4 linked regions of the Arabidopsis thaliana genome follow. The protein of the gene in region 1 interacts with the protein of each later gene in a pairwise test. Each region holds a gene or a part of one and is shown in the gene's direction. Other genes may lie near its edges.

Region 1 (7,083 bases):
ATCCTCACAAAAGAAAAAGTGAAAAAAAAATAATTATCTAAAAATCAAGATAATTATAAGATTAAAAATCCATTTTATTGTTTAACTAAAACTAAGCAGAGGACATATACACTAAGTGTATAAAGTTCTTAAGACAAGTAAACTAAAATATGCATCCTCCAGGTCCTCCAAATAAAATAGCTCTTGACCAAAATTCACCAACACCTAATATTTTTTGGACATTATAACAGTTTGGACTGCTTGCGAATGTCTTTAAAGCTGAAGCTAACGGACTCGAAACTTCTTTTGTTATATCAGTGATTATTTTTAAACCATTCACATAGGCTGCTTTCTTGAAACCCTCTTGTGGGAAATGTCCACTTCCCATGCTTGGGCTCTTCTCTTTCACTGAACTGTACACTTCTCCTCCCCAAAACACGGCACTCGCTCCATCAGCTAAACCTTGACGTGTGAACAATGATTTTGGCCAGTATCCAATTGGCTCGTTATTTAGCACAAACCACCAATCTCTTGTAACATGATCCTGCTTAAATCAAAAGTTGTTAACATAATCTTGACTTTTCGATATTAGTTTGAAGAAAGCTAATGTTGTATATTTATATATATACCTGATATATGCTGACTTCTAGTTGATATTGTTGACCATCATAAATGGAAACTGGTTGGGCGAGCATTCCAATTGCATACTTGGTGCTCACGTGTACAAACCCAGGACGTAGTGTATTGTAGCAATGAGTCTTATTATTTCCATCCGCCTATTTAAATCAAAGATAGTAGCCATAATATGAATGCCACATTTAAGAGTCAAGACTTTAAGAAGTTTTGAAAAACTTACAGTCCAGTAAGTGAACAAGTGACTTTGATTATTCTGATTTAGCCCTGGATACACCTAAAAACATATTTTGGAATGTTAGTTCCAAATTTTTGATTTAGAAAATAAGTAAAAATAGGGTCTAGCTTGACTTACAATCCATCCAGCAGAAATGCTTTGAAATCCTTTGTTGCCTGATACAGCCATAGCCGCAAGACTAAATTGATCAGGTGAGACGTTTGGATTCCATACGTTAATGTTTCCTTTTGCTCCATAGTGGTCATCTTTGTAACTAATTGTGGCAAACTAAAATCCGAAGAGAAAAAGAATAGATAATCAAAAAATATTATAAGCATTGTGGACAAGTTACAAGGCGATCTCAATTCAACTACGTGTAATAAGAAATGATTCTTACATGATGACCAGTTAAATCAATTTTCTTGTCCTTTGCAGACACTTGTCCTGGATAGTTGAATCGTAAGGATTGCAAACGTTGAGCTCGTATAAGATCTTCAAGTATAATTCTTTTGACAATGACTGTCCCAACTGGACAACTTATGTCATCTTGTCGAAATGGCAGAGAACTAGTTTTATGAGAAGCGTTGTTATCTTTGGTCCATTTAGGTATAGTTGTGGGTTTCAACTGCATTTATATTTCAATCCATCCAAACATTAATAAGAATTTTATTTATAGATATTTTTTCGTGGTTTGTAGGATAAACCTTAATAGAATGGTTCTTGAGCAAAGGATGATCAAAAGCTAGCTGTTTTTGAATGTCGATGCAGTCAAATATATAACCATGTTCAGTCTGTCGAAATCAAAAGCAAGAAAAAATTGGTGTGGTCTGAAAATAAATGTAACTTGATGATAGTTGTAATATTGTTACAATAGTCAACAATTTTTGTAATGTTTTATGAAAATTTAAGAAAAGAAAGGCTAAATTTACTTGGAAACTTTTGACTGCAGGTTTATTGAGATAGGTAAGTAGCTTCTTCATCTCTTCTTTCTCCTCTTTCGAAGGTATTGTTTTGTGACTCTCTCCAACTAAAATGAGAGCTATTGTTGATAAAGTTAGCAAGATAATTAGTTTATTGGAATACCTCATGATGAATCAAGGATCTTAATCTATATTTTTCAAAAGAAAAAATGAAGCAGAACAACTATATTTATTGTGTCACATAAATCTGAGATCATTTATAACCACCAAAGAACCTATACACAGTAAATGACAAATGTATCTCCCTCTATCTCTATTGCCCATATGTAGATGCTAAAGTAAGATTTCTCTTTTTTTTAATGTACTTTTTTTTGTATAAAGTATATTCCATAAGAAAAAGGAAAAGCTTGTTTATGGATCAATTGACCCCAAAAAAAGTTTTTAGATCAAAGCCCAATATAAAAAAAAAACACAGTAGTGACACAAAGGAACTTAAATAAACCATGAATTGATCTATAAACAGTAGAGATCGATAAGGCGAACATTTTCCATGTGAAGTGTCTTCTTTCATCTATAATATTTTTGACATCCAATAATTTCCTCTATAATATCATTCACATAATTGATAGAAACATTATGTTAGAATTGTCCACATCATTTGAGCTGTAATATATTCTGTTTTAACAAATTATATGGTAGTTGCTTAATCTTATGTCCATCTTCTTCTATGCATCGTTTTCGCGCCTAGTTGTCCAGTCCATTTCAACTACCTACCTCTAATTCTTATCTTAAAACAACATTTTTTAATTTAAGTATTATGCTCAAAGACTAACTAGATAGAAAACCGTTATTAAACATTAAACGAATTAAAAGTCTTACATGGAAAATGTAGGTTTATAAACCACGAGTTATGATTGACAATAAAAAAAATGCAAATCATCAATCAAAAGAGACTTGAGTGCGACTCTATATCAACCATTGCAATTAAAATTATCTATCACAAAAATTTTAGACAGATTAAGTTAATTTAGTCTAAATTCACTAATTTATTTTCTATAATTAGTAATTAACTATATTTATTTATTTACACATTTTCTGATAATTTAGAAATTTGCATGAATAACAAATATAAGATTTTGGAAATTAGTAGCAAATTTAATTAATAATTATTTTTGCCTAAATGAACCAAACTATAAAACCTCCACATACACCAGTCATCAAATTTACAGAGACAACAAACTAAAGTTGGTGGTGATAGAGTGAGAGAGAAACATGGAAGGCAAAGAAGAAGACGTCAATGTTGGAGCCAACAAGTTCCCAGAGAGACAGCCGATCGGTACGGCGGCTCAGACGGAGAGCAAGGACTATAAGGAACCACCACCGGCGCCGTTTTTCGAACCCGGCGAGCTCAAATCTTGGTCTTTCTACAGAGCAGGGATAGCTGAGTTCATAGCCACTTTCCTTTTCCTCTACGTCACCGTTTTGACAGTCATGGGTGTTAAGAGAGCTCCCAATATGTGTGCCTCTGTTGGAATCCAAGGCATCGCTTGGGCTTTTGGTGGCATGATCTTTGCTCTTGTTTACTGTACTGCTGGAATCTCAGGTTCAGGATCTGTTCTTGCTCTGAATTTTGTTTAAAGTTTTCGAATTTAGGTTGAAGGAATCTGGAATTAGGGTTACTTGGTTGTGAGAAACTTGGATATAATGAAGAAAGTTTGATACTTAAAAGTAATTTCACATTTAAAGATTGAAACTTTGAGTAATTTTCTTCTTAAAGTTTGAAACTTTGGTTAGTTTGCCCCACTTTGTTTCTTCTGTGTGAAGATCATAATCTGATTTTGACTTGTGTGTGGCGAATTGGTTTGGTAATGAGCAGGAGGACATATTAATCCGGCGGTGACTTTTGGTTTGTTCTTGGCGAGGAAGCTATCTTTAACCAGAGCTCTGTTCTACATAGTAATGCAGTGCCTTGGAGCTATATGTGGTGCTGGTGTGGTTAAAGGGTTTCAACCAGGGCTGTACCAGACGAATGGCGGTGGAGCTAATGTGGTGGCTCATGGTTACACAAAGGGTTCAGGTCTTGGTGCAGAGATTGTTGGAACTTTTGTTCTGGTTTACACTGTTTTCTCAGCTACTGATGCTAAGAGAAGTGCCAGAGACTCTCATGTCCCTGTATGTTGCTAATTCTCTAGTATCCTTGAGTTGTGTTGAGTTCATATTCTTCACATAGAGCTCATGTGTTTTTTGGTTATCGAACATTTTGCAGATCTTGGCTCCGCTTCCAATTGGGTTTGCTGTCTTCTTGGTGCACTTGGCTACCATCCCAATTACTGGAACTGGCATTAACCCGGCCAGGAGTCTCGGAGCTGCCATCATCTACAACAAGGATCATGCTTGGGATGACCATGTAAGTTTTCCTCTTTAATTACATCAACGGTTGTGCTAAGTATGATAAGTTATGAATTGCATCTAAATAGCAACTCAGAATTTTTGATAATTCTGCTCTTATCTGTTGTCTCTTTTGTTTTATGTGTCTGCAGTGGATCTTCTGGGTCGGTCCATTCATTGGTGCTGCGCTTGCTGCTCTGTACCATCAGATAGTCATCAGAGCTATTCCTTTCAAGTCCAAGACATAAAGTTTCCTACATATTCTCTGATCATCATCAAGCTAAGAATATATCAATCTTTAATTCTATATGCTTTCTTCTTGTTTCCTATGTCATGTGTGATGATCTCTATATGTACCACTAGAGCTTTGATCTTGTAACAGTGTAAATGTGTAATCTATTATGTATCAATGGCATTGTATCTTGTAACATTAATTATGTCAATGGAAGAATACATTGTGTACATGTGTAAGCTCAGAATCTTGTTTGAATATCACAGAGACATAACTGAACTGGACATAGGTATGCTAAGTTGCTAACATTGTCAATAAGTGTTTCCAATACCAAACATTAGCAACATAATTGTAAAATGTGTAGAATTTGATAGAACAACATCTAAGCCGAACTGAACTGGTCTAACACCATCATCGCAAGTATTTCTTCATCTTCTTTCTTCTATAAGAGTCTTTCATTTTCCACTTTTTATAACATGCTTATAACTGAATTTTCAACTTTTGAATCACAGTTTCAGTTATAGATATTCTTGGATGATGTTCAGTTCGGGGTTTTGGTTTTGGTTTTGGTTTTGGTTGATAGTCATGAAAATGCATGTTCTGTTCCACATGGTAGGGTTCCAGTAAAATAATAAAAGAACCAGATTTAGTAACATCTTTCACATGAATGATAACATATTTCACATGTTTGATGCAGCAACTTGTAATATGGATGATAGTCATGAAAGAATCTAATGGGCCAAGAAATGTGAAAGAGTCTACATGACTATCATCCAAAAAAGAGTTGTAGCAATATGGATGGGCCAAGAAAGTGCAAGACTTCAGCTTGAGCTTGACTTTAAGAGAATAAGTAATTTGCATTTGCCCTTTGGTCATGTAGTACTCGGGTTGTTTACATTTATCAAACAAATATCAGAGTTGTTTATTGTTATTTGGGAAAATCTTTAAACTTTCTACATAATCTTTGAGACTAGTGGGAATTAAGAGTGGTGATGTAGTGGATCAAGATTAAAAAAAGTTGATTGTTTAAAACATCGAGTATCTTGCAATACAAAACAAAACCCTTAAACCAATCAATACGAAAAAGATGAAGATGTCAACTTTCCTTTTCAAAAATATGCAAGTTTGAATCCGGATGGTAACATACTGATGTTACTAGTTACACAAATATCTAGGCTAGATGTCCTAATCATCTTCAAAATATTTTGTTGATGTTTTATCTTAAATAATCAAAGTTTTTCAATTATTGTGGGTGTTGTATATATTTAACATAATCTTAATCCATAAACAAAAAGTAATATAAAGGTGTTGCGGGAAAAGGTTACTTAATGGTTAAGAAGTTTGGCTTATGATCATCCCACTTTGTGAAGTATGGCATGAACTTTCTTTTTACCGATATTAGAGCCAAATGAAAGCGGTTTCTTAATCGCCAAGTTCCAACCAAAAAACAAAAAGCCCACATTTACGAAAAATACTCTTAAACCAACATTTTGAATTCATATGATACAAAGCTTCAAATATCCAAATCGAGGAAATTATTTTTTAAAAAAAACAATACATAACTTTTAAATATAAATTGCGAAAAAAGGTAAAGCCACTCATCAAAATTCAAAAGTGATGAGATTAAAGCAAGTGAAGACGCATACATTATCACATTAAAAGTAGCAAACACACCAAGAAATTAGATAAAAAGATAACAAAATAATTCCATCCACTTTCTTTTTCTTTTGTTTTGTCAAGATTTTGTTTTTTGTATTTCAGTCATACGTGTGAATGTATATCAACAACATTGTTTTTAATGTATAAAAATCTCAACTACTATAAAGTAGCTGAATGATATGTGATTAAGATATATATCGAGAGAGACAAGCCAGCAAGAATTTTCAGCACACATACACACACAAAAGATTCAAAGAATCATCTAGTAACAAATAAAAAAGGAGAGAGAAGGAAAATGAACAGAATGAGCAATACAGTGATAGGATTCTTGAATATCCTAACACTAATTTCCTCCATAGTTCTATTAGGATCAGCTCTATGGATGGGTAGGAGCAAAACGACATGCGAGCATTTTCTTCAGAAGCCACTTTTGATCTTAGGCCTAGCTATCTTGATCTTGTCAGTAGCTGGTCTAGTCGGTGCATGTTGTGACGTGGCTTGGGTCTTGTGGGTGTACCTCTTCTTCATGGTCTTCATCATAGTCGCACTCATGGGTTTGACCTTGTTTGGATTCATAGTGACTAGCCATAGTGGTGGTGTGGTTGTCGATGGTAGGGTTTATAAAGAGTTTAAGCTTGAAGCATATCACCCTTGGCTTAAGACAAGGGTGGTAGATACTAATTATTGGGTTACTATAAAGACTTGTCTCTTGGGCTCAGTCACTTGTTCCAAGCTCGCTCTTTGGACTCCTCTTGATTATCTCCAAAAAGACTTATCTCCTCTTCAGGTACTCGTTATAATCATTCCAATTTTTTTCATAATCAGTAAAATTAGTAAACTAGCTAGTCATTTAGAGATTTGTAACATAAAAATAAGCTAGTGCTAAACATTACATGCTAATAATAATTCGAGTAATTGAAATATTCTGATATTTGGAAACAGTCTGGATGCTGCAAACCACCGACGTCGTGCGTTTACAACACGGACACGGTGATACAACAAGACCCTGATTGTTACCGGTGGAACAACGCAGCGACGGTGCTCTGCTATGATTG
Region 2 (8,281 bases), on another chromosome or scaffold:
AGAATATTCGAACTTCACTTTTACTTCTACATAAAAACAAATTGTACTATTAGACCATTATGAAGTGGACGTTTTTGTGGTTGGTTAATAGGATCCTAATGAGATTTGGATAATGTTATTTGTGTTCTCGATGTTCATCTCTGAATTTTTAGTTTTTTCATCTTTTTGCGTTGTCTCCTGCATGCAATTATTTGACTTGACTTGAATAAATATAGTTTAGTTCTTTGTTTGTTTGGGCAAAAAATGTAGTTTAGTTCAGAAATTCGGTAAACAATATTAAGATCTGGTAATAAGAGACATATTTTTTGTAAGTTTAACCATTGCAATTTCAAGGATTTGTTCTTGTGGTTTAGCCCCTTTTAGTCTCAGTAAGTATTGTGTGTTTAATCTTGGACCGGATCCTTTTGTACACAATATTTTACAATATATGCAATTTCAGATATGATCAATACAAAATATACTTTTTTAGATAGAATTTTAGAAACACAGGCTCCATGTTCTTAAATATAAGGCCAAAAGGGAAAAAAAAGTTCCCACTATCTATCGAATACTTGTTAGATCAAACGATGATATATTATTGTATAGAACTACAATGAAAAAATGTATGGTGTAACTGTGTATTAACATTATAAACGTGATGGTCGTGTCGTGAGTAGGTAGTTTTTTTCCTTGGTCAAATAGTATAAGTTTTCTTCTCTGTTTTATAATATTTTAAATGAAAATATTTTACTTTTCTACAATGTTTTATATATAGTAGATAATACGAGATATGATTGAACCCTATCAACTTGCTTCGCTACGATTTTCAACAATTTATCTCACAAAACCAATAAAATGTCCACCCGTTATCAACGTGACACAAACACATCAAAGAAGGGAACAGTTCTACTGGCCACCTCATGAGTCATGACTCAACCATTATTGTGTCCTGGACTTCTTTCTAGAATGTAAATTGATGAACGAAAATTTCAGCTCTGCCCTTGGCTAAAGCGGCTGAAGTCCATGCTTTAGGCACACAAATTTATAGATAGTTGTAAAAGGTAACAAATTTCGAAAATGTTTCGTAATCTAGTGGTTATTTCATAGATTAATGTCTTATTAGTGAACGGTTAGAATTTTAGCTTTGTTTTTTGTGACTTTTAATTAGAAATAGATTTAAAAATGCTTAACAATTTTAAATAAACTTAAATATGTTTTAGGCATTAAAATCTGTTGGGTTAGTTCTGTCGAGGCGGATTGGACGTTGGTTTTTTTGTATATAAATTAGTGGGCTTCATGGATAGATCCATCGTAGATCACAAATTCATGTGGATAAACTCGTCGCAGATTGTGGGTTGCCCGTAAAAGAAAAATCAACTCTTTTAAAACATAATGTTTTTTCATAGAGGATTTCAATCCTTTTGTCTCTGTTAGAATTTTTTGTGCAGTTCAAAAACCCTAATCAAAGTATTTCACGATCACTTAACAAGAAATCTGAAGAATCATTCTCTATTTCTTCAAGTTTCTTTTTATGACCACATCAAAAAAAATTAAATCGTCGAAACTTTTGATTTTAAGTCAAAACAGAGCATTTGTAAACTACACACTTGTAATGGTAAGTTATTTGTGAATACACATCCATGATTAGATGTTTTATTTTTGTTTGATTGATTCGCAAGTAGTGACTAGTTTTGTATTTTGTTACTGATATGATTCGTTTGACTCCGAGTATTTTAGATCTAATAATCTGGAATATCAGAAAGTCATTAAGTTGAAAAATGCTAAATCTAAACGACAACAAGCTAACAATGAACCAAAAGGACCTAAAAAACTGGAAAGAAAACTAAGAGATGAAATAGGAGCACCTAAGCCACATAGAAAAAAGGTGAATGAACCAGAAACATTTAAAACCCAAAGAAAAAAGGGTGATGAAGCAGAAGCATATAAAACAGAAAGAAAAAAAAAGTTTGATGAAATTGAAGAAAAAAAGTCTGTCTTCATGTTCGTTGCACTCGTCGTGAACCCCGAACCTCAAATGATTTAAAGATTAAAAAAGTATTAGACTGCTTTCGATAATTCCTTCTTAGTTCTATGAAACACTATAATCTATTTAGACTACCTCAGCGTATCAATATTTTTTTCTTGTATAGAATATCCAATCACGACCAATCGAATTTCATCAATCTATAAGAATGCCATTCTCATGCAATTTTTCTCTTATAGCCAACATGCTCATGCAATTTTGATTATTTACTTAAATAAATAAATAAATAGAAGTTTATATAAGTGTCAATAATAAGCTTAACCTTGAGATTCTTTGAGAAACGTTGCATTTATAGAAGAATTTGTCAGTAATTCTAGTAAGATACGAGCAATCAATTGGTATTTTTGATTGTTACTTCTCTCATCTCACAAGTTTGAATGGTTACGGCAGTTAAGATGGATAAATCCGTCAATGGTTTAATCCGAACTATTTTTAAAGTAGACAACAAACCGTCGCAACCAACTCTATTTATATGTAAAAACGGTATGTGGTTGATCCGCATCAGTTTTCTTTTTTAAATCCACACAGAAGTAATTTGTGAAATGGTAAATAAAACGTGGTCAAATACACAAACGAATTTGTCCACCTTAACCACAACAATCATTTAGACCCTAAAATTGATAATAAATGGACAAGTGAACATAGAAAATATGGCAATTTATGTTATTTTAGACAATCGAAGCGATTATTTAGGCGTTACCTGAGAGTCTAGTGCCTAGATAGAGTGTAAACGACCGCCTAGACCATTTTTTATAATACTGAACTTTTGTAATCATTTATTTCGGAGGTGGTGCACACGACAATGCCTACATTACTCGTGAAAACTATATTATACCTCAGAATACCAAAGTCCATGTTCCCGATCCCAATATCATCAAAGAGTTGGCCCATATCAAATGCTATGTTAATTTTTCTTATCTTTTCAAATTATTCTAATGTTGTGTTGCCAACGACTGCTTTTACTTTATAATAGAATAGAAATAATAGAAGTTAGTTTCCGCGATTACTATTATATGCTTACATTTATACCGGACTAGTTATCTCCAGAAGAAAACCGTCCGTTTTCAATTTGAAAACAGTCTGTAAAAGAAAGACTTACATTTATCTAATGCGGATTTGTATTGTGTGTGTGTGTGCTTTTTTCTTACATGTATTTATTGGTAATGTACATTTAATTATATGTCAAGGTGGTTGCTGGTGTGTGTAAGGTTTCATAATCTGCTAGAATAGTTAAGAGGTCACCTTCATTTACCAAATGGATTTTGTCTTCTAATTGATTTAAATCCATTTTTTTCTTTTATTCTTTGAATACTTTTTCATAATTATTTCGTATCCTCCACACTAACTCATTTCTACTTTGCTACATTTACAAGTTTCATCTAATCTACTTAAATTAACAAAAAAAAAAAAAAATTGTTTCCTTATTTAAAAATTAGATTTCTCGTAAATTGGACTTTGATTTTAATTATTGTCTATTCAAAGTTTTATTTTTTTACCTTAAAAAGTGTTGACTTTGATATTTCATTACCTTAAGAAGAAGAATCACCGACAGCTCCAACTTAGGAAATCTCAACCGTTGATTAAATCAAACGAGATACTAAAATATCCAACGGCCATAAATCGTCCAATTGCCATGTTTCTTCCCACTCTCTTCTCCTTCATTTAAGAAATTTCACTCTCCGAAGAAGAAGACGAAATCGAGCAAATCCATGGCGAAAGTTCGGATTTTGATCTTCACCCTTGTCTTATTCTTCTCCCTCAATGTCCATATCCATGGATTTTACCTTCCCGGCGTCGCTCCACAAGATTTCCAAATGGTCAGCCACATAAAATCATCTCTGTATCTGTATTTCACAAATGCAGCTTCTTCTTAGAGCTTTGATTCACACTGGGTCTAGATTTTTTTCTGATTTAGATCCAACGCAATCGATCAAGTAATCTTGTTAAAATTGGATCTATGGCTCTGTTTTATGAGATTTGGGTAATTTTGATCTTCAGTTACCACTGAGTGTTGTGTTTAAAGAGAATGTTTCATTAGTCTATATGTATTAGCCATTGTTTAGACTTGTTTCTGTGTGAATCTAGCTTTTGGAGTAGAAGAATGTATAATGGTCATTATCTATAAAGGTTCAAACTTTGGAGTTATGGTTTTGTTTTTCAGGGAGATGCATTGATGGTGAAAGTTAATAAATTGACATCTACAAAGACTCAGCTTCCATATTCCTATTATTCTCTTCCTTATTGTCGTCCAGAACATATTGTTGATAGTGCTGAGAATCTCGGTGAAGTTCTTCGTGGTGATCGAATTGAGAACTCTCCTTTTGTGGTATGTTCTTGTTTCTTCTTGGTTCTTTCTCTATCTGTCTTGGTTAAGTGGTAGTTGTTGAGTTGTTTTTAATGTCTGTTTGTTTCTTTGTTGCAGTTTAAAATGAGGGAATCGCAGATGTGTGCTGCGGTTTGTCGTGTGAAGCTTGATAAGAAAACCGCAAAGGCGTTTAAGGAGAAGATTGCTGATGAATATCGAGTTAACATGTGAGGAGATTGATTTTGTCGCCTTCGACTGAATGTGTTTTGTTTTTCTTCTGTTTTTATGAGGAAGATTGATTTCTTATGCAGGATTTTGGACAACCTTCCCCTAGTTGTTCCGGTGCAAAGGCCAGATCAGGACAATGTTGTAGTGTATCAGCATGGTTTCCATGTTGGTCTCAAGGGAATCTTTGCTGGCGTAAGAGCTCATCATCACCTTTTCTGAATATGTTTCAATGGAAAGAGTTCTTATTTATTTGATTTTCTTGTAGAAAAAGGAGGAGAAGTATTTTATCCACAACCACTTGACCTTCACTGTTAGGTATCACAGAGATATACAGACCGATTCTTCAAGAATCGTTGGCTTTGAAGTCAAGCCGTTCAGGTAGCTTTTTGTGATTTAAGGACTTTGACTCTGTATTGTGTAAGCGACTAACATCTACTGATTTTATCTCGATGCAGTGTCAAACATGAATATGAAGGTCAATGGAATGAAAAGGCTCGGTTAACGACTTGTGATCCGCATACAAAGCGTGCAGTCACTAACTCTGAGTCTCCTCAGGAGGTTGAAGAAGGGAACGAGATTATCTTCACATATGATGTTGACTTCCAGGAAAGTGAGGTGAAATGGGCGTCTAGGTGGGACACTTACCTTCTAATGGCTGATGATCAGATTCATTGGTTCTCAATCGTTAATTCTATGATGATTGTTCTTTTCCTCTCTGGTATGGTCGCTATGATCATGCTAAGAACACTCTACCGAGATATTTCCAACTACAATCAGTTAGAGAGTCATGAAGAGGCCCTCGAAGAGACGGGTTGGAAATTGGTACACGGAGATGTTTTCAGACCGCCAACAAACCCGGAGTTGCTTTGTGTTTATGCAGGCACTGGAGTTCAATGCTTTGGAATGATTCTTGTCACCATGATCTTTGCTTGTCTTGGCTTTTTATCTCCTTCAAACCGTGGTGGTCTTATGACGGCTATGCTTTTGCTTTGGGTTTTCATGGGACTATTGGCAGGATACGCGTCTTCACGCCTCTACAAGACGTTAAGAGGAACCGAATGGAAAAGAAACGCTCTGAAAACCGCATTCATGTTTCCCGCTACCGTCTTTGTCGCCTTCTTTGTCCTTAATGCGATAATCTGGGGACAAAAATCATCCGGTGCAGTCCCATTTGGTACAATGTTTGCTTTGGTTGTCCTCTGGTTTGGTATCTCTGTTCCACTTGTTTTCATCGGTGGCTACATTGGTTTCAGAAAACCTGCACCGGAAGATCCAGTGAAAACCAACAAGATCCCGCGGCAGATCCCAACACAGGCCTGGTACATGAACCCAATCTTCTCCATTTTGATTGGAGGCATTCTCCCATTTGGCGCAGTCTTCATCGAGCTCTTCTTCATACTCACCTCAATATGGCTACATCAGTTCTACTACATATTCGGCTTCCTCTTCATCGTCTTCATCATTTTGATCATCACTTGCGCAGAGATCACGGTCGTCCTCTGTTATTTTCAGCTGTGTAGTGAAGACTATCAATGGTGGTGGAGATCTTACTTAACATCAGGCTCTTCCGCGGTTTACCTCTTTCTTTACGCAGTCTTTTACTTCTACACCAAACTTGAGATCACAAAGCTCGTCTCTGCAGTGCTCTACTTTGGGTACATGCTCATAGTTTCATACGTATTCTTCGTCTTTACTGGTGCAATTGGTTTCTACGCATGCTTTTGGTTCACCAGGCTTATCTACTCTTCGGTTAAAATCGATTGATCTTTAATCACCTTCTTAGTAAGCTGTATCTTAAATCTTGTTCTTTTTCGTTCTTTTGTTTCCTCCTTTTAAATTTTGTGATGATTTTGAGATATGTAGACATAAACTTTTATTTTATTGTAAACATACATAGAGCTCAAGAGTACAACAATTGTCTCATAATAACAGCAACTTGTCACACACTTTTATCAGCAATCTCAGTTTTTATTTCTTCCATTCTTAGTAGATTAGAAACTAAGTTTGTTACTACTGCAAGGTCATACAGTTTACATTTTTTTAATAACTGTTTCTAATCGACAATTTTTTTTTGGAATTCATGAAACTGCGTACCTCATGTTTTTAGGAACATAGTTTTCAGAATATTAAAAATGAAATAAAAAATAATGAACTCGATCGACAAGGTCAAGTCAAGATAGTATGTGGTAGATAAACAAAAACAAAAAGAAACGTATGTGGTGGATAATTTAGAATTGAATGAGTCAATCAGTAGTCTATATGGACCAGTGGCACAAATCACTGAGCAGAGATGCATGAAGAATTAGGAGGATAAGAAGTCCGACGAGTTCACACGATAGATTGTTCTCGAAGTCAAGAACTAAACTCCAGAAGTGTTTTTATTTTCCTTTTTTCTTATTAAAGGCATACTCAGAAGCCATAGTCATAACCTATTACTTACCACACACTGCACACACATACACACAGAAAGTAATTATGAGTCCACAACAATCTTATTGCTTTTCTGGTGTTACGTTGTATTCCTTCTTTTTGGTTTTCTTTGTTCTACACACATTTGCTTCTCCTACGCTTCACTATTGCCGCCATGACCAAAGGGATGCTCTTTAAGAGTTCAAACACGAGTTTCCGATCAATCAATCCAAGCTAGATCCTTATTTTGCATCATTAAGTTTATGGAACAAGAGCAGTGATTGTTGTTATTGGAAGGGTGTCAAGTGCGATGCTAAGTCTGGCAAGGTGATTTCACTTTACCTTAATTACGTCTTTCTCAACAACTCCTTGAAACCAAATAGTGGTCTTTTTAAACTCCAACATCTTCAAAAATTAACCATTTCAACTTGCTATCTCTATGGGGAGATTCCTTCTTTATTCGGAAACCTTTCCCATCTCACAAAACTTAACCTTCTCAATAATAGATTAGTAGGTCAAGTTCCATATTCATTTGGAAACTTAACCCATCTTAGGCACCTAGACCTTAGTGAAAACAACTTAAGTGGGAGAACCAGTTCAAGGGACATATAGAGTTTGGGAATACAACTTCATCGCCTAGGCTTATTGGTATACACCTTGGCGATAACAAATTTGATGGCTCAGTCCCTGAATCTATATCTAAATTTTCGAAGCGCAAAATGTTCAGTCTTACAAACAACAATTTCATCGGGACAATCCCAAAATCTATATCACAGTTACATAACCTCTATATCCTTGATCTTTCCTACAATAAGATGGAAGGAACAGTACCAGGTTGCTTATCAAGATTGACATGGTTATCGCTTTCTCACAACTCTTTTAGTAGTATTGGAAAGTCATTAGAAGTTCTAGATAGAGCTCCAATGCGTGTATTGAGTCTTGAGTCAAATTCATTCCAAGGACCGTTTCCCCATTGGATTTATAAGAAAAGTCAATAGAAATTTTGCTTCCCCACAGAGGCCGAATATCTCCAAACACTCTTTCTTCTTGGACATGTTACACATGATGTTGAAATGGACATAAAGCCCGCTGGCCTGAAAGGATACGGTCTTATTTTGTGGACCCGAACCCGTTTAAAGACACTATATAATAGGTTGACCCGTTTAGATTTGACTACTAATAATGGATCTGAAAAATACTAAAAAGGTAGCCCGTTTAGACCTAATTACTAAATTGTCTGAATAAGATGCTAAAAGTCTTTGCTTTCACTATTCTAGTGATTTCTTTCGGAAATTCCAGAAATTTGATTCGAAATG
Region 3 (7,903 bases), on another chromosome or scaffold:
TGAAAAGAAACAACCATAATATGTATTTATTCAGATTTAAAATAAATAAAAATATTTTACTATCCGTAACAATGAAAAGACTCAACCATATGAGATATTTATTTTGATTTTTTATTATGTATTAAATATTTAATGAAGAGTTACAATGAAAATATTTAACCATATAAAACATTTGTTCAGAAAAAAACTAAAAGAAAAATAGGTTACAAAAATATTACGATAAAAAGAGGCAAACAGGTGAAAAAGAGTTATAATCTAAGGACGCTACTGAAGATAATATATCAATGGATGCAACAGTTCGTCAAATAAATTAAATGATACAATGGTTCATAAAAAAAAAAAAAAAAATTGCAATGGTTCGTCAGAAAAATCAAATGTTGCAATGGTTCAACTGAACAATTGCAAATATTTAAATGTATTTTAGTAAATTCAACTTTTATTTTATTTTATGATTACATTCCGATTGTAATTTCGTCAGCCTTACAGCTGGAAAACTCTTGATCATAATAACAATGGAAAAGAAGATGTTAAAAAAAAAAAAAAATTTATATAGAGACAAGCGACCACATATATTAAATATGCCAAAGGTTGTGCGTTCGTCAAACAAACTAAATGTCACAACGATTCATAAAATAAATCAAAATTTGCAAAGATTAGTCAAATAAATTAAATGTTAGTTCAATTAAATGGTTTGCGAAAATTCATTTACACAAATTAAAAATATATTTTGTGAAGTTTTATACCGAGAAACACGATTATAGATATCAAATATACTAGATGTTGCAACGGTTTTTATTAATATTAAGGGTTACAATAGTTCCTAAAATAAACAGAAAATTACAATGATTTGTTAGTAAACCAAATGTTGCAGTAGTTCAACTAAGCGGATATAAAAATTTGTTTCATATTTTAATAATGAAAATATAAAAAAATGTATGTTGAAGAGTTATGAACAAAAGTTACCATCGACTTTAACGTTAAAGAGTATTTTAATGATGAGATACGATAAAAAAAACAACTGTGAAAAATAACCGTAAATATTTCAACAAAATATGCGATAAAAAGATACAACCAAAAAACATAACCATAAATATGTAACAAAAAGTTACGTTATATAAAAAGATACAACAATTCAGATACAATCGTAAAAAGATACCCAACTAAAAAAGATATAACCGTAAAAAAGTCCTGACTATATTTCAATGAAAATACACGATAAAAAGACAGAACGAAAAAAATCAGAAAACCCCGTAAATATTTAATAAAAATTTACGATAAAAACATAACCGTTCAGAAGTGTTTGCGATATAAAGACACAACCGTCAAATTTCTTTGAAAAAATACGATAAAAAGATACAACCGAGAAAAACCCAAAAAACTCATAAATATTCTATCGAAAAGTTGCGATAAACAAACACAACCATTCAAAAGTGCTTGCGATAAAAGAACAACCGTAAATGTTTCGACTAAAAGTTACAATTAAGAGACGCAACCCGAAAAAGTTACAGTAAATTTGTTAACGAAAATTTACGATATATAAACGTAACCATTTGAACTTGTATCCTACTTTGGTTTCTAATAAAATTCAGATGACAAAGAAAAAACGCAACCATTAAAAAAATGTAAAAGACTATTTATTGAGATTGTCTTATTATTATTAGATTTACTTAACTCCAAAAAAAAACCATGGAGGAGGTAAGTCCAATACACCCAACCCAAAAAATAGACAAACCCAGCCCAAGCCCAAAAAGCCCTTCTATTTTTATATGTAGACGACAATAATTTTTACAGACCTCAAAGCAAAATTAATAAATTATCGTCTTGACGAAAAATCGTAGAGGAAAAAAAATCCCCAAATTGTGTGACCGGAATTAGGGTTTCGACAATGTCGTCCGGGAAGCCAAAGCAAGGCGACACACGATTGGTGGTTGCTGCCACTACGGCGTCGGCATTGATGGAAGCGAAGAAGGCTGATCACGGAGGATCTTCGTCTATCGTTGAGTATAAACCGCCGGTGATGCTTGAAGATGAAGAAGATCTAGAAGTAAAGCTCCGACGTATCCTTGAGAACGTTCCTGTTCGTGTTAGTAATACTTCTGGAAGTTCCGCTGGTTCTGGTTCTGGAGATTTCCATCAGGTAACTAAACTAAGCCTTTCTCTTAAATCGATAAGGCTTTGTATCTGGAATCTGAAACTGCAGATAAGGCTTTGTATTTTGTTATTAGGCGTAGTTAGGTGTGGTAATCAATTACGAGAAGTTCATTGTTGGGATCTGAATTATCTTAGTGGACTTTGTGTTGACATTGTTTTCTTAGTTTTGTGATGGATCACAATGCCTTTATGCCTATATAAGAGTTTGATAGAATGTTCCATAGACTATCCTGTATTAGTCTTTTGATGGCTGTGATCTGTGAATGATTTCAACTTCTGTATATGAATTCTGTTCTTCAGTAACTGAAAATCAGCTGGATTGTTTGTGAAGAATGCCTGGTCTTTTGTTCTTAGGCATGGCTAAGTGTGGATTCGAAGCTATAGTCGATTAATTACTAGAAGTTCCTTGTTGTACATGTGATAGGAATCTTAAATTTCTTAGTCTATAAGTGTTTTGTGACGTTGATTACTTAGTCGGTAGAGCTTGAACTGAGAGTATTAGTTGCGAGAAGCTCATGTGGGTATTAGTAATTAATGGTTGATGGTCGTTGTGTTGATTCTATAGGTTGTGGCTGAGTGTTATCTGAAGTGTGGCCCTGATTATTGATAAAGCGTGTGTACATCATTTTCTTATTATACTAGACATCTAAACTTGTGCAATACTGATGCATTGTTTTTCTATTACAGTACCGGCAAATGAGGCGGAGAGAACAAGACCGACTAACAAGGATGGATATTGACTATAACAAGCGGTTAAAAATGGCAGAGTTTACTATAAGAAGAGAAGAGAAACAGAAAGCTGCAGAGGAAAAAACATCGAAGAAGCGTTTGAAACGCCAAAAGAAGAAGCAGAAGAAACAGGAGAAGAAGCAAAAACCAAACACTACTGAGGAAGAAGTAAAGCAACCGAGAGTAGGAGAAATATCATCTGACGAAGGTGAAGATGAAGTAGAAGAAGAGTCTGTGCTAGAACCTTTACGTCCAATGTTTAATATCAAGTTCCAAGAGAACCGTTCATAGCTTTTATTGTGACATGTTACATGATTCCAAAACTATCTTTGTGAGATTCGTTTCTTTCTTTCCTTTTGTTTTCAACAATGTACGGGAAAAAGAAATGGAGCAGGTTTTAATCGGCTTTTGTATTGGATTAGGGTTCATCAAATCAACCACCAATGTATATTGACAAGTAAACCAAAATTCTTTAGTCGAAAATTGTTAAAACGACTAAACTTTGGTGCCAGCAGCTAAGCTCCATACACGCAAGTTCCCACTTTTGTGTCCACTGAATAGCAATCCTTGAGGACCAATTGTGAGTGTGCCAATCGTGTGGTCCCATCCAAGGAAGACGATATCAGACATTTGTCCCAACATAAGAGTGATGTTACAGTGCCAGTATGTTGCTTCAAGGTCATTATACATTGCAGGGTGTTGAGATCCCACACCTTGATTGTTTTATCGACAGAGTATAGCACTTGACCTCCAACAACAAAAGTACAAAACAAGTGACTTCACCACTATGATGTCCCTCGAGAGATGTCAAGTATTTGAATGGATCATCAGACTCAGAGTGTGTAGTAGCTTTCCAGACTAAGCTACTACCACAACTTGTTCCAGCAAAAAGCATTCCGTTTAATATAAAAATACCCCATCTTTGAATTGTTGATACACCGATTTAACATCTCTATATTCCAAAGTAATGTATATATTGTTCACAATGGAAAATGGAGATTAAAGGAACAACAAAAATTGTGAACCAAAAAAAAAAGAAATGCCAAAAGATAGAATCAGATCAATTACTCAAAGATAAGAATGGTTTAAAAGCAAAAAAGAAATTTAGTTAAGGCCATGAATGGTGACATAGACCGCACAAACTGCTTAAATTGAAGAGACGACTATGTGCGTAAAACGAAGAGACTCAAAACAATTTTGGGATTCGTGAGAGATATTGATTCGCTGCAATGGAAGAATCTGTTCATCAATCGATACGATTCGGCTCAGGTTTCTTCTCTCTTTCTCTCATTGTTTCATTGTTCTACGACTCCATTAACGTGTAGATCTACCGATTCATATGATTTCTGAACTGATGCAGTTGCAGATTTAATCATGTGGAAGAATCGACGCGGAGGGTTTCTTCTACTTGGATCAACGACATTGTTATGGTTCCTCTTTGAGAAATGTGGATACAGTTTCTTCCCCTTTGTTGTTAATACTCAGCTTCTCTCCGTCGTTATACTCTTCCTCTGGGCCAAATCTGCTATTCTCTTCAATAGGTATCATCATCTAAACCTGATTGTATAATGTCACATTATTTTTGGTTTGCATAGTTTTAGTGAAGAAGAATGTCACAATGTTTGCATAAGTTTGTTGTAGATAAGAAGATAATGGTTACAGGTTTAAGTATGTTTGCTAAAGCTGAATCTGAAATTTCTTGACCAGACCTATGCCTCTGGGCCAAATCTGCTATTCTTTTCTATAGGTATCTAATTTGTAGATAAGATATGGTTAAGTATGAAGAAAAGTTTGCATTACCTCTGTGCTAAAGCTGAATCTGAAATTTACTGTGATTGTTATTGACTAGGCCTATGCCTCAACTACCTAATCTTGAAATCACTGAGGAATTTGTGTTTATGGTGGCTGATGCTATACGAGTCTGGATTAATACCGTGCTCGCTGTTGCTCGTGAGATTTACGTGGGAAGAAATGCAAAGCAACTCTTTCGGGTCAGCAAACTTGTCCCTTTTGTTTTTTTCCAATAGATTTCTACTTGAAATTGATACATTGAGATTGCTTATGGTAGGTGAGTGTTGTGTTGTGGACAGTATCATTTGTTGGAAATTTCTTAAACTTCCTCACAATACTCTATCTTGGTGAGTAGTTTTTTTGTTTTTCCTTTGTTCTTTACATTGTTCATTATTGATAGAACCTATAAGTATCTCCACAAGGGGAAGAGTATACATTTTGTACTCAAGACTTGCTAATTGACTTTCTCTGTGTGATATAAATGGACAGGTGTTGTTCTGAGTCTGTTGATTCCCTTTTTGTACGAGAGATACCAGGATCTTATTGACGAGAAGCTATCTTTAACTCATCGAGTCATTCAGACACAGTACAGGAAGATCGATGAAAGATTACTACAGAAGATTATTGCTAAGCCCACAAATAAGATAAAGAAGATGCAATAGGCAAGCATACTGAACCTTCTTAAACCATTTTATTCAGTTAGTCCTGTGATACATTGCTCATTGTTCCTTTGATAAAGGTGTTCTTGTTAAGCCTAGTGCTCTAATATTTCAACTAGCCTAGGGTTGTTGGTTCAGGCATAGCTTCGCCAGCTCAACAACAGAGCTTACATTAGCTGATAGCTGAAAATTTTAAAAAAGAGTGTGGAGAATACATTAGGAGGGGATTATAGACTTGCGCAGGGTTTTGTTTGAGCATTAGTAGAGAGTTTTGAGACTCATCACATTAATCAAGTTTCTTTGATGGTGTATTCAATTAGATGAGGAGTTCACCGGTTAGAATCTCATCAGCCATATTGTTTATAAAATAGAACTACAACACATCAACAAAATATGCTTAGATGTTGACTGTTAAGTATTTATATAGATATCAGTGGTACATCAATTTTGCGTGTTCTGTGTTGATACCAGTTGCATATTTGCTTCTTTGAACATATCACACCAAAGTGATATCCTCTTCATAGACCAATACTAATCTGTTAGTACTCTTTTCGTTGGATGCAGTGAAAGAAAACAAGACAGAATTGGACTGAGTGGGAAGGTAAAACTAAGTAAAGAGTGCAACAGGCGACGTAACTAGCTATGATTGTAGATGAATTAGAGAAGTTGAGACTTGAGTGTGGTTTTGTCATGAACCAACCCTTCATTTGATTCTCTCTTTATATAGACACTGTGGATAGAGAAGTCCATGTCTGTGTAACTTCAGGAACTAAATGTGATTCTAATCAGCGTATTGGGGCAGCTTCGGGCTAGCAAATGGTTTTAAGCTCGAGACTAGTGCTTGAAATTTATATGGAGACAATAAAAAAACAAGTTAGTCTCTTATGTGATTTACGAGATACTGGAATTGAAAGAATGAAAAATGTTCTTCAGTTTTTTATCTTCTTATGTTGAATTGTGATTTTGAGTTATGTAGTTCAATAATGTTGCTAACAAAGCCATTGAATCCGCAATCGTTGGTTCTCGGTTATAAAAGGAAACAACAGCCCCAGCTTTCAACGTTTATGAATACATGAAGTGAGGCTGAAAAAGGCAGAAACTCAAGCAACCTTAGGAACTACGACAGATTCCGAATTGGGCACTGTCACAGACCGCAACAGCTCCAACGAGCAAACAAGACCAAGGAAATGAGAGAGTAAGGTGTTCGCCGATGCCTGCACAAATGGCTCTCAAGTCAAAAAGTGAACTTACACAAATAAAGTAAGACTTATAATAAGAACACAATTAGAGCTTAATACCTGAACTAGGAAGACATCAAGAGCAAGAACGGGACTGTATCCCTGAGAGACTCCTTGGTAGAAAGGGTTTGCTGAAGTTGTTAAAGCCTTTGCAACTAAAAATCCAACTGTTGCTTGCATCCCGAGTAGTGCTGATCCCATTCCCAAAATATTTACCATAATCCCGCTCCTCAAACCTTTCACAACATCAGCGCGAGGCGGCGCCTGCAACAACACAACCTTTATTAAAACTGGATTTTTTCCTTTAGACACCAAACTACAAAACTGAGTATCAGGACTCAAGTAGGAGTAGTAACCGCTATTGGGTGACCTGGGCAACCTGACTGGACATGATCCAAGGTTCAAGAGCTGCTACTAAATCTAGGTTCACAGACCGGTCTTTAACAAACAAAGTTGACCATACGTACCTACAAGCGCTATTGTATGGGTGTTCACTGATTAGGATTGAACTACAATGAAGAGAACGACATATTTACCTTGGCAGGGTCGATGGAAGTTCGACGGAGCCTCTCGGAGAGCCGAATATACCCAAACGACCAGAAAACCGAGACAAACGCAGCAGCAATCCCACTAGCAGTAGCATAGAAAGTAGCAGGTGAAGTAGGTTTCCCAGTTACAACAATGGAGAAGGATAGAATCACAGCTGCAACCACAGTTGACACAAGCTGCCCCCAGAAACCAATACTCCCTAGTCTCTTAAAGTACCTTGAAGTCTTCTCCAATCTCTTTGCAACCTGTGAATAATAAACCACCCATACTCATAAAACAAAAAAAATCTCTTCCACACCAATACAGTTACTGCATAAAGATTCTTCACACTAAGCACTTTTCAAAATTTCAATTCTGAAAACTCAAATCCTAAATTGTTATCTACTTCCTAAAATCAAAAGCAGATTGTAACTAATTTCGATTTGTTAGATCATTTTCTCTCTTTCTACATTCAATTTCAGCTAGCTTGTGAAAAAGGCGAAGAAATGGATAGAGAACCTGAGCGAGTTTTGCTTTGTCGACCTCATTATCACCGGGAACGGAAGACGGAGAAGTCGGATATGAAAATGCCACCGTGGATGGTGTGAAACTAGGTTTAGATCCTCCGATTTGGAAACCGTAGACGGACAGAGACGGTGGCGATTGATATGAGGAGATGGTGGTTTTCTTCTTCGGAGCTAAGAGAAGTGGATTAAACAATGGCAGGGAGCGAGTAGAGAGGCTTTGGTGGTTAAATGAGTGCTGGAAACCTGGCCGTAGCGCGACGGCGGATACGCCGGAGGAACT
Region 4 (7,798 bases), on another chromosome or scaffold:
CAGTTTGTACGAGCAAACTCTCGAGTTCTCTCTAGCAATATCAGCATAGTGTCCGTCGTGAGTTTCTCTTCCATGCCTACTTGGCTGAGGAAGTAGTACAACAGGAACACACACTCTGAACCCAGAAAAGCTAATTGCTCTTTTGCTTCGGAACTGCAGAAGAATCTCATCACTTTGGGATTGTGAAGAGACTGAGGAAGCTCTCTCAGAAACACCTGCAAGCAAGCAGATAAGAGAAGCGTTGTGCGTTCCTCCAACGCGTACTCTACAAAGGTTAAAGCTTTATCAAGGTCAGTGACAGAAGCAGCCAAGCGAGCCTCACATTCAGACTTCAGATCATCGCAACAGAATTTGCTGGCTAATTGAAGCAGCTCAAATACAGTTTCCACACGAAACAGATCAACTCTTTTGATTCTACTATATATGTTGAGTGCCAACATTGCCTCAATAGAGATGCCATTTTCCGAGAAATCAATCTCAGAAGTTGTTGATTCCACGAAAGAACCATACAACATGGCCTCAAAAGGACGCGAAAGCGCTGCGATTCTCGACCTAACACACTTAGCCTTCTCTGAACCTACGCAGAAGGAAATATCGCTAACCTCATCTAGACCCGAAAACTCATCAGCCTTAGAGATTTTAACGTCATCACTACCAAATTCATCCTCACATACCGTAGAACATTCACAACCCTCGTCGTCTACATTCAAATCACAACCATGAGTCAAACTAGTCTTCGGACATTCAGAAGCAAGCCCATTACAATCCATAGATTCAACTCCCACAAGTTCATGTTCTCTCCTAAAAAATCTCAACCAAGCAGAGAAAACAACCTTACAAGGGACATCAATGGCGTGCCTCCTAGCGTTGAGAAGGCACCTACGCAAGAGCTTGGCATCACCGAGACTGCGGAGAACAGCGTACTGCTCAAGGTAGAGCATCGATGCCTCGGATTCCGAACTGGACTCGATTCTCCGATATAGATTTGATAATGACTCCACCAAATCGATAGGTTTGAGGTAAGAGTCCAAGGGAGGCTCGAGGAGGTCTGTGGTGGGAAAGCCATGAGGGAGAAGTGAACGAGATTTGGATTTGGGATGCCCAAGGAACTTCATCATTCGAGGGCTACCATTGCTGCTTGTAGAGGGAGAGTCTTGTGTAGTAAAGGCGTGGACTTGAGTGCTTTTAAATCTCTCAAAGAGTTTGAGATTGCGCATTTTGCTATATCACAGAAATCTGAGAAAAGGGTTTGATTTTGAAGTAAAGAGAGAGTGAGGGAGACGGAGAGAGCAAGAGAGAGAGAGAGAGAGAGAGAGAGAGAGAGAGAGAGAGAGAGAGAGAGTTGAAAACACAAGCTCTGTCTCCGGTGACAACACACAGTGCAGAGACAAAAAGGAGAGAGAGAGAGAGAGGAAGAAGAAGACGATGAAGTGTGATTGAGAATATAAATTATTTTTATAAAAAGGTCAATAATTTGGGGAGAAAAAAGAGTAATGGCGTCGATTTTTGCAAACCCAAAAAACATTTATATGGAAAAAAAATGGTCGAATCTCATATCTGTTTTTCTTTCTTTTATGCATTTTTTTGTGGAACAGTTTACGAACTTCAACAGTTGGTGGTTCTTATTGGGTGCGATACGAACCAGACCACTTTCCTTTCTCTTTCCTTTTTGTGTAAAGACCACTTTCCTTTTTTAAAACAATATTTTGTTTCTGTTTTTTTGGTGAGGAAATATTTTGTTTCTTTGTTAAATTGTTATTTTTTTCCATATTTGAAGATATTGGTATGGCTTTTAATTTGTGAAAATTTGGGTTTATTACAGAGTTATATGATGATTAAATATAGTTTAGAGAATTATAGATGGTTGGTTCGTTTCGGGTATAATTAAAATAAGCCTCTCTGACTATCCAACGTCATTGATTCATGTGATGCCAAGATAGGTAGGTTAACTAGTTATGTGGTTTCTTATCGGTTATCTCCTATCTAAACAATTGAGCTTAACATTAAACTTTGAAGATATTAACTTATCTCTCTAATGAACGAAAAAAATTCAGTTTTATTGGTTGATTGGTTATGATTTCAATGACTAACAAAGAAATGGTCTTTAATTTATGTACAGCATGAATTTACTCAATTTATTACATACAACATGATTTCAAAAAATTGCTTAAAATTTTGCAAAACATTTCTTTACTGTGATCACACTAATCATTTGTTAATCTGGTGTCTACTTTTTTACTCGCTAACGTGAGCGTGTATATTTATATTTTCTGAGATCTTCATAGTTTTAGGTTTTTAGCTTGTAGTTAGTTTTTTTTGTTCTCGATATTGGACCAACAACTATCAGGAAACGCATAATTTATTATATATATAAAAAACTCTCATAAAACGTACTGTATTAAAACAATAACAAATAAAAAGTGGAGAGAACTATATCCAGAACCAATTCTGATGTTCTTTTGCCCGCACACCTGGAAAACACATGCAAGTGTACTCTTTAAAGATAAACATATATACCATTTGCGAAATAATTGAGGATTTTTTTTCTTTTGCCAACAGATAAATAATATAAGATTGTTTCAGAAAAAAAATAAAGATGGATAATTGAGGATTAGGTTGGCATTATTTGATGCAAAAAATACTAAAGAAAATCTCACATTGAAATCAATTAAAATAATTTTCTTATGGTATATACAAGTTGATGCAAAATTGATAAAAGATTAAACAAGGCAAGAGACGTGTGGTCATGTGTCTCGGCAACCCATGTGAGGGAATCTGAATCACTTTTTTTTTTTTTTTTTTTATGTTTCTCGAATCTGAGTAGCACAATAATTGAATTGTGTTTCGTAACTAAATTAGGGATTTATTAATCATGAAAAATTATTTGATGAAATCAAATTGTGGTCCGTCTAGTTGACTTATACCAGCCCAAATTATTTAGCGAATATAAAGCCCAAACTAGGCCCACAATAACAAATTATGCGTTTCCTCAAACGAACACCACCATGTCATGAACCATTCTAGCCGAATCCAAATAGAACGAAACTAAAATTGCTTTAATCCATATGTGACCAGATAAAGTAAAACACTCCTTTTGGGGAAATAAATATCCACTTTTCACCATCTTTTTGGTAAACAATAAAACAAACCAAATTTTGTGTGCTTGAGCAACAACAACTACCAACCAGTTACTGTCAAAAAAAATAAATGAAAACGTAATCGAAGAAAAGGTCGTGTTTTCTAGTGTTGCAGAAAATGGCAACTACTAGTACTACTACAAAGCTCTCCGTTCTCTGCTGCTCTTTCATTTCATCTCCTCTCGTTGACTCTCCTCCTTCTCTCGCCTTCTTCTCTCCGATTCCACGATTCCTCACTGTCCGAATCGCGACTAGCTTTAGATCGAGCTCTAGGTTTCCGGCCACCAAAATCCGCAAGTCTTCACTCGCCGCCGTGATGTTTCCGGAAAATTCGGTTTTATCAGATGTCTGCGCGTTTGGAGTCACTAGCATCGTTGCGTTCTCGTGCCTCGGTTTCTGGGGAGAGATTGGCAAACGTGGCATCTTCGACCAGGTTTTCGATCATTCAATTCACTTAATTAAATTATACACGCGTCGATTTGTTGAATAACGTTTTTGGAATGTTGCTCGATTCTGCAATTTCTGGTTAAAGCAACTTTGGATTCAGAGTAATGGTAGTAGTAAGCTTTATCGAGTAATGGATGGCATTAATGGCGAGGATAATAAATCTTATTAGTTCAAGAAATTATAGAATGTGAATGGATACCTATTTTGGGGTGGAAGAACACTGCGATAAACAATGGGAAAGTAACCCCATATCTGGTAAATTAGTGGGAAAATTGCTCAGAACCCAATTTGGGGATGAAATTTTTTTGAAATTCGTGCGGTATAATCACAATCTCATCGTAACTTGAAGATTCAACCATATTTATGATATATATGAATTTTGTAGGTTTAAATGTTGCACAATTTCTTTGCTATACTTTGAAGGATTATTTCTTCGTATGAGTCAGTCTATACACATATTGGACATGGCTTGTTTTTTTTTCCTTTCTCTTATGTGTTTCTCCGCAGTGACTTGTTTTTCTTCAAGTAATTTGGTTAGGAGTAGAGGAATTATCTATGATTAGCAAAAATTCTATTAAACATTTTTGGTTTGGGAATACCTGTATGGCTTCAGCTACTTGATTTTGTTTCTCTGACCTTATCGTGATTAAGATATCATCTCAGAACCCATTGAATTTATAAGATCCACAGGCTGTCTGATGTAGGACTGACTCCACTTTCATGGTTTTATTGAATGAGGCATTGGTTTAACATCTGTGGTTGACATTGGTGTTATTTCTTATTTTTCAGAAACTCATCCGGAAGCTTGTGCATATAAATATTGGGCTAGTTTTTATGCTTTGCTGGCCGCTGTTCAGGTAATAATACGGAGTGAAAGGATCGATTTTGATGTACCAGCTTGCTTTTCTGCTTCACCAGTTTATTTCGATATCAATTGTTTCAGTTCTGGAATCCAAGGAGCACTTTTCGCATCTCTTGTACCTGGACTCAATATAGTAAGGATGCTATTGCTGGGGCTTGGAGTGTACCACGACGAAGGAACAATCAAGTCAATGAGCAGACATGGAGATCGCAGGTAGCTGAATCGAACAAGTGTCTGTCACAATATCCAACAATCTCTTAGCATTCTTGGTATCTATGATCAAAATTCGGTTTGTCTGTTTATTATTGCTTTTGTCACTTCACAAAGTGTCTGTAGTCGCTCTCTGCATCAGGGAACTACTTAAGGGGCCGCTTTACTATGTACTGTCAATCACATCAGCCTGCATCTACTATTGGAAATCATCCCCAATCGCGATTGCGGTGATATGCAACCTTTGCGCAGGAGATGGTAAGTACAGTTAGCTCTGGTTTGATCCAATAACATTAGCAACTTTTGTCTTAGGAATTTGAATCCATTGAATGATGATTCTAATACACACACTTGCTGTTAAAAGGTATGGCTGACATTGTGGGTCGGCGGTTTGGAACAGAGAAGCTTCCTTACAACAAAAACAAATCATTTGCTGGTAGCATTGGAATGGCCACCGCCGGGTTTCTAGCATCTGTTGCGTATATGTACTACTTTGCTTCATTTGGTTACATCGAGGATAGCGGGGGAATGATTCTTCGTTTCCTCGTCATCTCTATAGCATCAGCTCTTGTGGAATCACTCCCAATAAGCACCGACATTGACGACAATCTCACCATTTCCTTAACCTCTGCCTTGGCCGGATTCTTACTCTTCTAATAATACCCTCTCGTTGTTATGTATCATCAAATAAAGGGTCGAGCTTGATTGCTGATATGGAGGTAAAACTGCATTCATTGTTCCCATCTTCTTCTGTATGTACGTATTAGTGAAACATCTCATATTGTTGTTGTCCACAAATCTTATTTTTCAGCTGCAATTGCAGTTGGGTACAATGTTGTAATGTTCTATCCATTAGTGAGACATATGATGACGAACAGTGACGCTTCTACAATTTGTAACAGATACTCTTTTGTAACAGATATTCAATACATGTTTGTTTGTTATTTGGCCTATGGCTATGTGGAAATGGATTGTTTGCTTACAACAGGTGAGGGCTTGAGTGTCCCGCTCCAGGAAGCCTCTTCTGACAGGTCGGACTGGTGACTGTAACGGCGTTTCAGACAAGGAAGCAACACGAGGAACAAGAGGAAGACGGCGAAGCTGATGACAAGAACTACCGTCAAGATCTCACCATGCATGGCGTAGTGTCTGTCTCTAGTGAAAGTAAGTCGTTCGCCATCTTCAGGACTCGAGGCCTCCACCGTAGAAGTTACCATTAGAGAGGTAATCTCAAATATTCTCAAATCTCAACTCCTTTGCTCATACCTACTTCATACTGTCATGCATCATCTTGGAGGGATTTGTGTCTGTTTCTTTTTCCTCTCTGAAATATAAATTTGACTTGGGAGAATATGTATCAAATGAAAACAATATGTCACCACAGAAGAAAAGAAGAGTTTAAATATATTTCTTTGGGATAATTTAGTAGATGGATTTTTGTATAAAGGTTGGTGTAGAAAGTGAGACTGGGACGTTCGTTAGTGATTGCTCTCTACATATGGGGCGTTGGATTGGGTCTTTTTGGATCTTACGTGCGACGTCGTTTTCGTAATTTGAAGAAAATCCTTTTCGTGTGGCTCCCATAACCGACTCCGTGACTTTCCCGGAAATTTCCTCAAGAGAGAAGCGACCTTGTGTCTCATGTTAGTTGCTTCTTCTTCTGCCCTTATTTATATGAATACAAAAATTAATTACTCTTTGATTTGGCCCATTTAAAATTGCTAACTTCTTCACGCATTCTCGAAATAGAAGAAAACGTGGTATGCTTGTATTAATTGAATGGTTCTGAAAGAGACATTTTCAGAAGAAACAAAAAAGCAATTGTGCCAAACTAGAAGAAGAAGCTATAATCGAGGTGTGCTCTACTGAGATTTTGCATGGGTGCTGCAAAAAAAAAAAAGAGATTTGAATGGGCCATGAGATGGGCTTTTAATAAAAAAATCATAACAGAAATTAGATGACGTGGAGTGTCGTTTTCTTTCTATTCGAGGTGACGGTGAGAAGGAAAACCGTGTCGTTTATATGATTAAGTAAAGAAACGCTTGCCGTTTAATATTTTAGCTTGGCCTGGGTGCCGTGGCAAGTCATGATTGGTGGTTTCTTCGCCGATGTAAAATTCAACAGATCGAGAGAGAAAAAACTCTCTCTCCCTCCTCCGTTCACCGTCGCGACTCGGCTCTACAGTGTAAGCTTTCTGATTCTACGGCGATTTCGTTTCTGTATCTATGCTTGTAGACTGGGTTTGTTTTATTGGATGATTTGATTTGGAACCTGAAACAGTAAAGTTGTGAGGAATGAGTAGTAGAGTTTCCTATCACAGAAACTCCAAAACGAATCTGTTAGATAGTGATGATCGACTTTTTTGATTTCTGGAGAAATTCGCTTTTTCTAGGGCTCCTGATGGTGATGGAAATCTCTCTTTACGATTTGGTTTTGATTTTCTCGCAGACATTTTGTTGAGCAATCTCGTATTTAGAGGATTCCAATGTCTGGCGCAGAGGATAATAAATCTTCCCATGCTCAGGTATTTGTTCATTTAGTCTCATCTCATGATGAATTCAATTACTGTTTATATGCTCCACATTCTCGTTCTATGTAAAACTATTAAGATTTCTCCTCCTTGTTAAAGTAACTGCCTAGTGGAAACTAAGTTAGACTTACGTTTCTTTGCTCTTGAACTTTGCTTGCAGCTTTCGTCCCAAATTTTTCTTGATCTTGTGGATTCGGTGATAGCTGATGTAGCATCTGAGTGTCATCGGGTAGCACGACTAGGACTTGATCGTGATTTGGATATAGTAGAAGAAGAGTTGAGATTGTCAGTGGAAGCGCGTGCGAAGATCGCTGATCCTAGCAACAACCTCGAAACCAACACCAAATATGTTGTTGATATATTTGGGCAGACTCACCCTCCTGTAGCTAGTGAAGTGTTCAATTGCATGAACTGTGGGCGACAAATTGTTGCAGGAAGGTTTGCTCCTCATCTCGAAAAATGCATGGGAAAGGTGATCTTATTGCTTGCATGCCTCCTTATCTCTGTCAGATAGTATTCCAGAATGTGTTGTTTCATTGAACCTCTAGTCCTTACTTTTTTTTTTTTTTTGGAAACCACCTAACAGGGAAGAAAGGCTCGTGCCAAGACAAC

The links.
Region 2: the proteins of PIP1;5 (region 1) and AT2G24170 interact in a protein complementation assay, tested with the Arabidopsis thaliana proteins (one large-scale study listed by BioGRID).
Region 3: the proteins of PIP1;5 (region 1) and AT2G15280 interact in a protein complementation assay, tested with the Arabidopsis thaliana proteins (one large-scale study listed by BioGRID).
Region 4: the proteins of PIP1;5 (region 1) and FOLK interact in a protein complementation assay, tested with the Arabidopsis thaliana proteins (one large-scale study listed by BioGRID).

Annotation. Positions count from the first base shown.
Region 1 is NC_003075.7:12,217,771-12,224,853, forward strand, and holds PIP1;5 (plasma membrane intrinsic protein 1;5), read left to right. Parts: upstream 1-2,870; 5' UTR 2,871-3,021; coding exon 3,022-3,352; intron 3,353-3,625; coding exon 3,626-3,921; intron 3,922-4,015; coding exon 4,016-4,156; intron 4,157-4,289; coding exon 4,290-4,385; 3' UTR 4,386-4,698; downstream 4,699-7,083. Other genes in the region: AT4G23390 (NEP-interacting protein, putative (DUF239)), read right to left, coding at 143-523, 609-755, 836-889, 968-1,117, 1,227-1,454, 1,534-1,620, 1,759-1,917; TET5 (tetraspanin5), read left to right, coding at 6,324-6,815, 6,971-7,083. UniProt on the Arabidopsis thaliana protein: Aquaporins facilitate the transport of water and small neutral solutes across cell membranes.
Region 2 is NC_003071.7:10,272,346-10,280,626, reverse strand, and holds AT2G24170 (Endomembrane protein 70 protein family), read left to right. Parts: upstream 1-3,360; 5' UTR 3,361-3,438; intron 3,439-3,505; 5' UTR 3,506-3,732; coding exon 3,733-3,840; intron 3,841-4,184; coding exon 4,185-4,349; intron 4,350-4,445; coding exon 4,446-4,555; intron 4,556-4,639; coding exon 4,640-4,748; intron 4,749-4,821; coding exon 4,822-4,934; intron 4,935-5,011; coding exon 5,012-6,320; 3' UTR 6,321-6,528; downstream 6,529-8,281.
Region 3 is NC_003071.7:6,636,082-6,643,984, forward strand, and holds AT2G15280 (Reticulon family protein), read left to right. Parts: upstream 1-3,891; 5' UTR 3,892-4,109; coding exon 4,110-4,149; intron 4,150-4,240; coding exon 4,241-4,421; intron 4,422-4,729; coding exon 4,730-4,871; intron 4,872-4,948; coding exon 4,949-5,018; intron 5,019-5,160; coding exon 5,161-5,333; intron 5,334-5,894; 3' UTR 5,895-6,272; downstream 6,273-7,903. Other genes in the region: AT2G15270 (PRKR-interacting protein), read left to right, coding at 1,886-2,137, 2,839-3,171; TIC21 (translocon at inner membrane of chloroplasts 21), read right to left, coding at 6,431-6,544, 6,629-6,832, 7,105-7,362, 7,616-7,903.
Region 4 is NC_003076.8:23,667,258-23,675,055, forward strand, and holds FOLK (Phosphatidate cytidylyltransferase family protein), read left to right. Parts: upstream 1-3,009; 5' UTR 3,010-3,255; coding exon 3,256-3,570; intron 3,571-4,373; coding exon 4,374-4,441; intron 4,442-4,527; coding exon 4,528-4,659; intron 4,660-4,798; coding exon 4,799-4,914; intron 4,915-5,020; coding exon 5,021-5,313; 3' UTR 5,314-5,612; downstream 5,613-7,798. Other genes in the region: EOL2 (ETO1-like 2), read right to left, coding at 1-1,217; AT5G58570 (uncharacterized protein), read right to left, coding at 5,613-5,873; AT5G58575 (SAGA-associated factor-like protein), read left to right, coding at 7,142-7,180, 7,347-7,658, 7,773-7,798. UniProt on the Arabidopsis thaliana protein: Kinase involved in negative regulation of abscisic acid (ABA) signaling. Substrate preference is farnesol > geraniol > geranylgeraniol, but has no activity with farnesyl phosphate. Can use CTP > ATP > GTP = UTP as phosphoryl donor.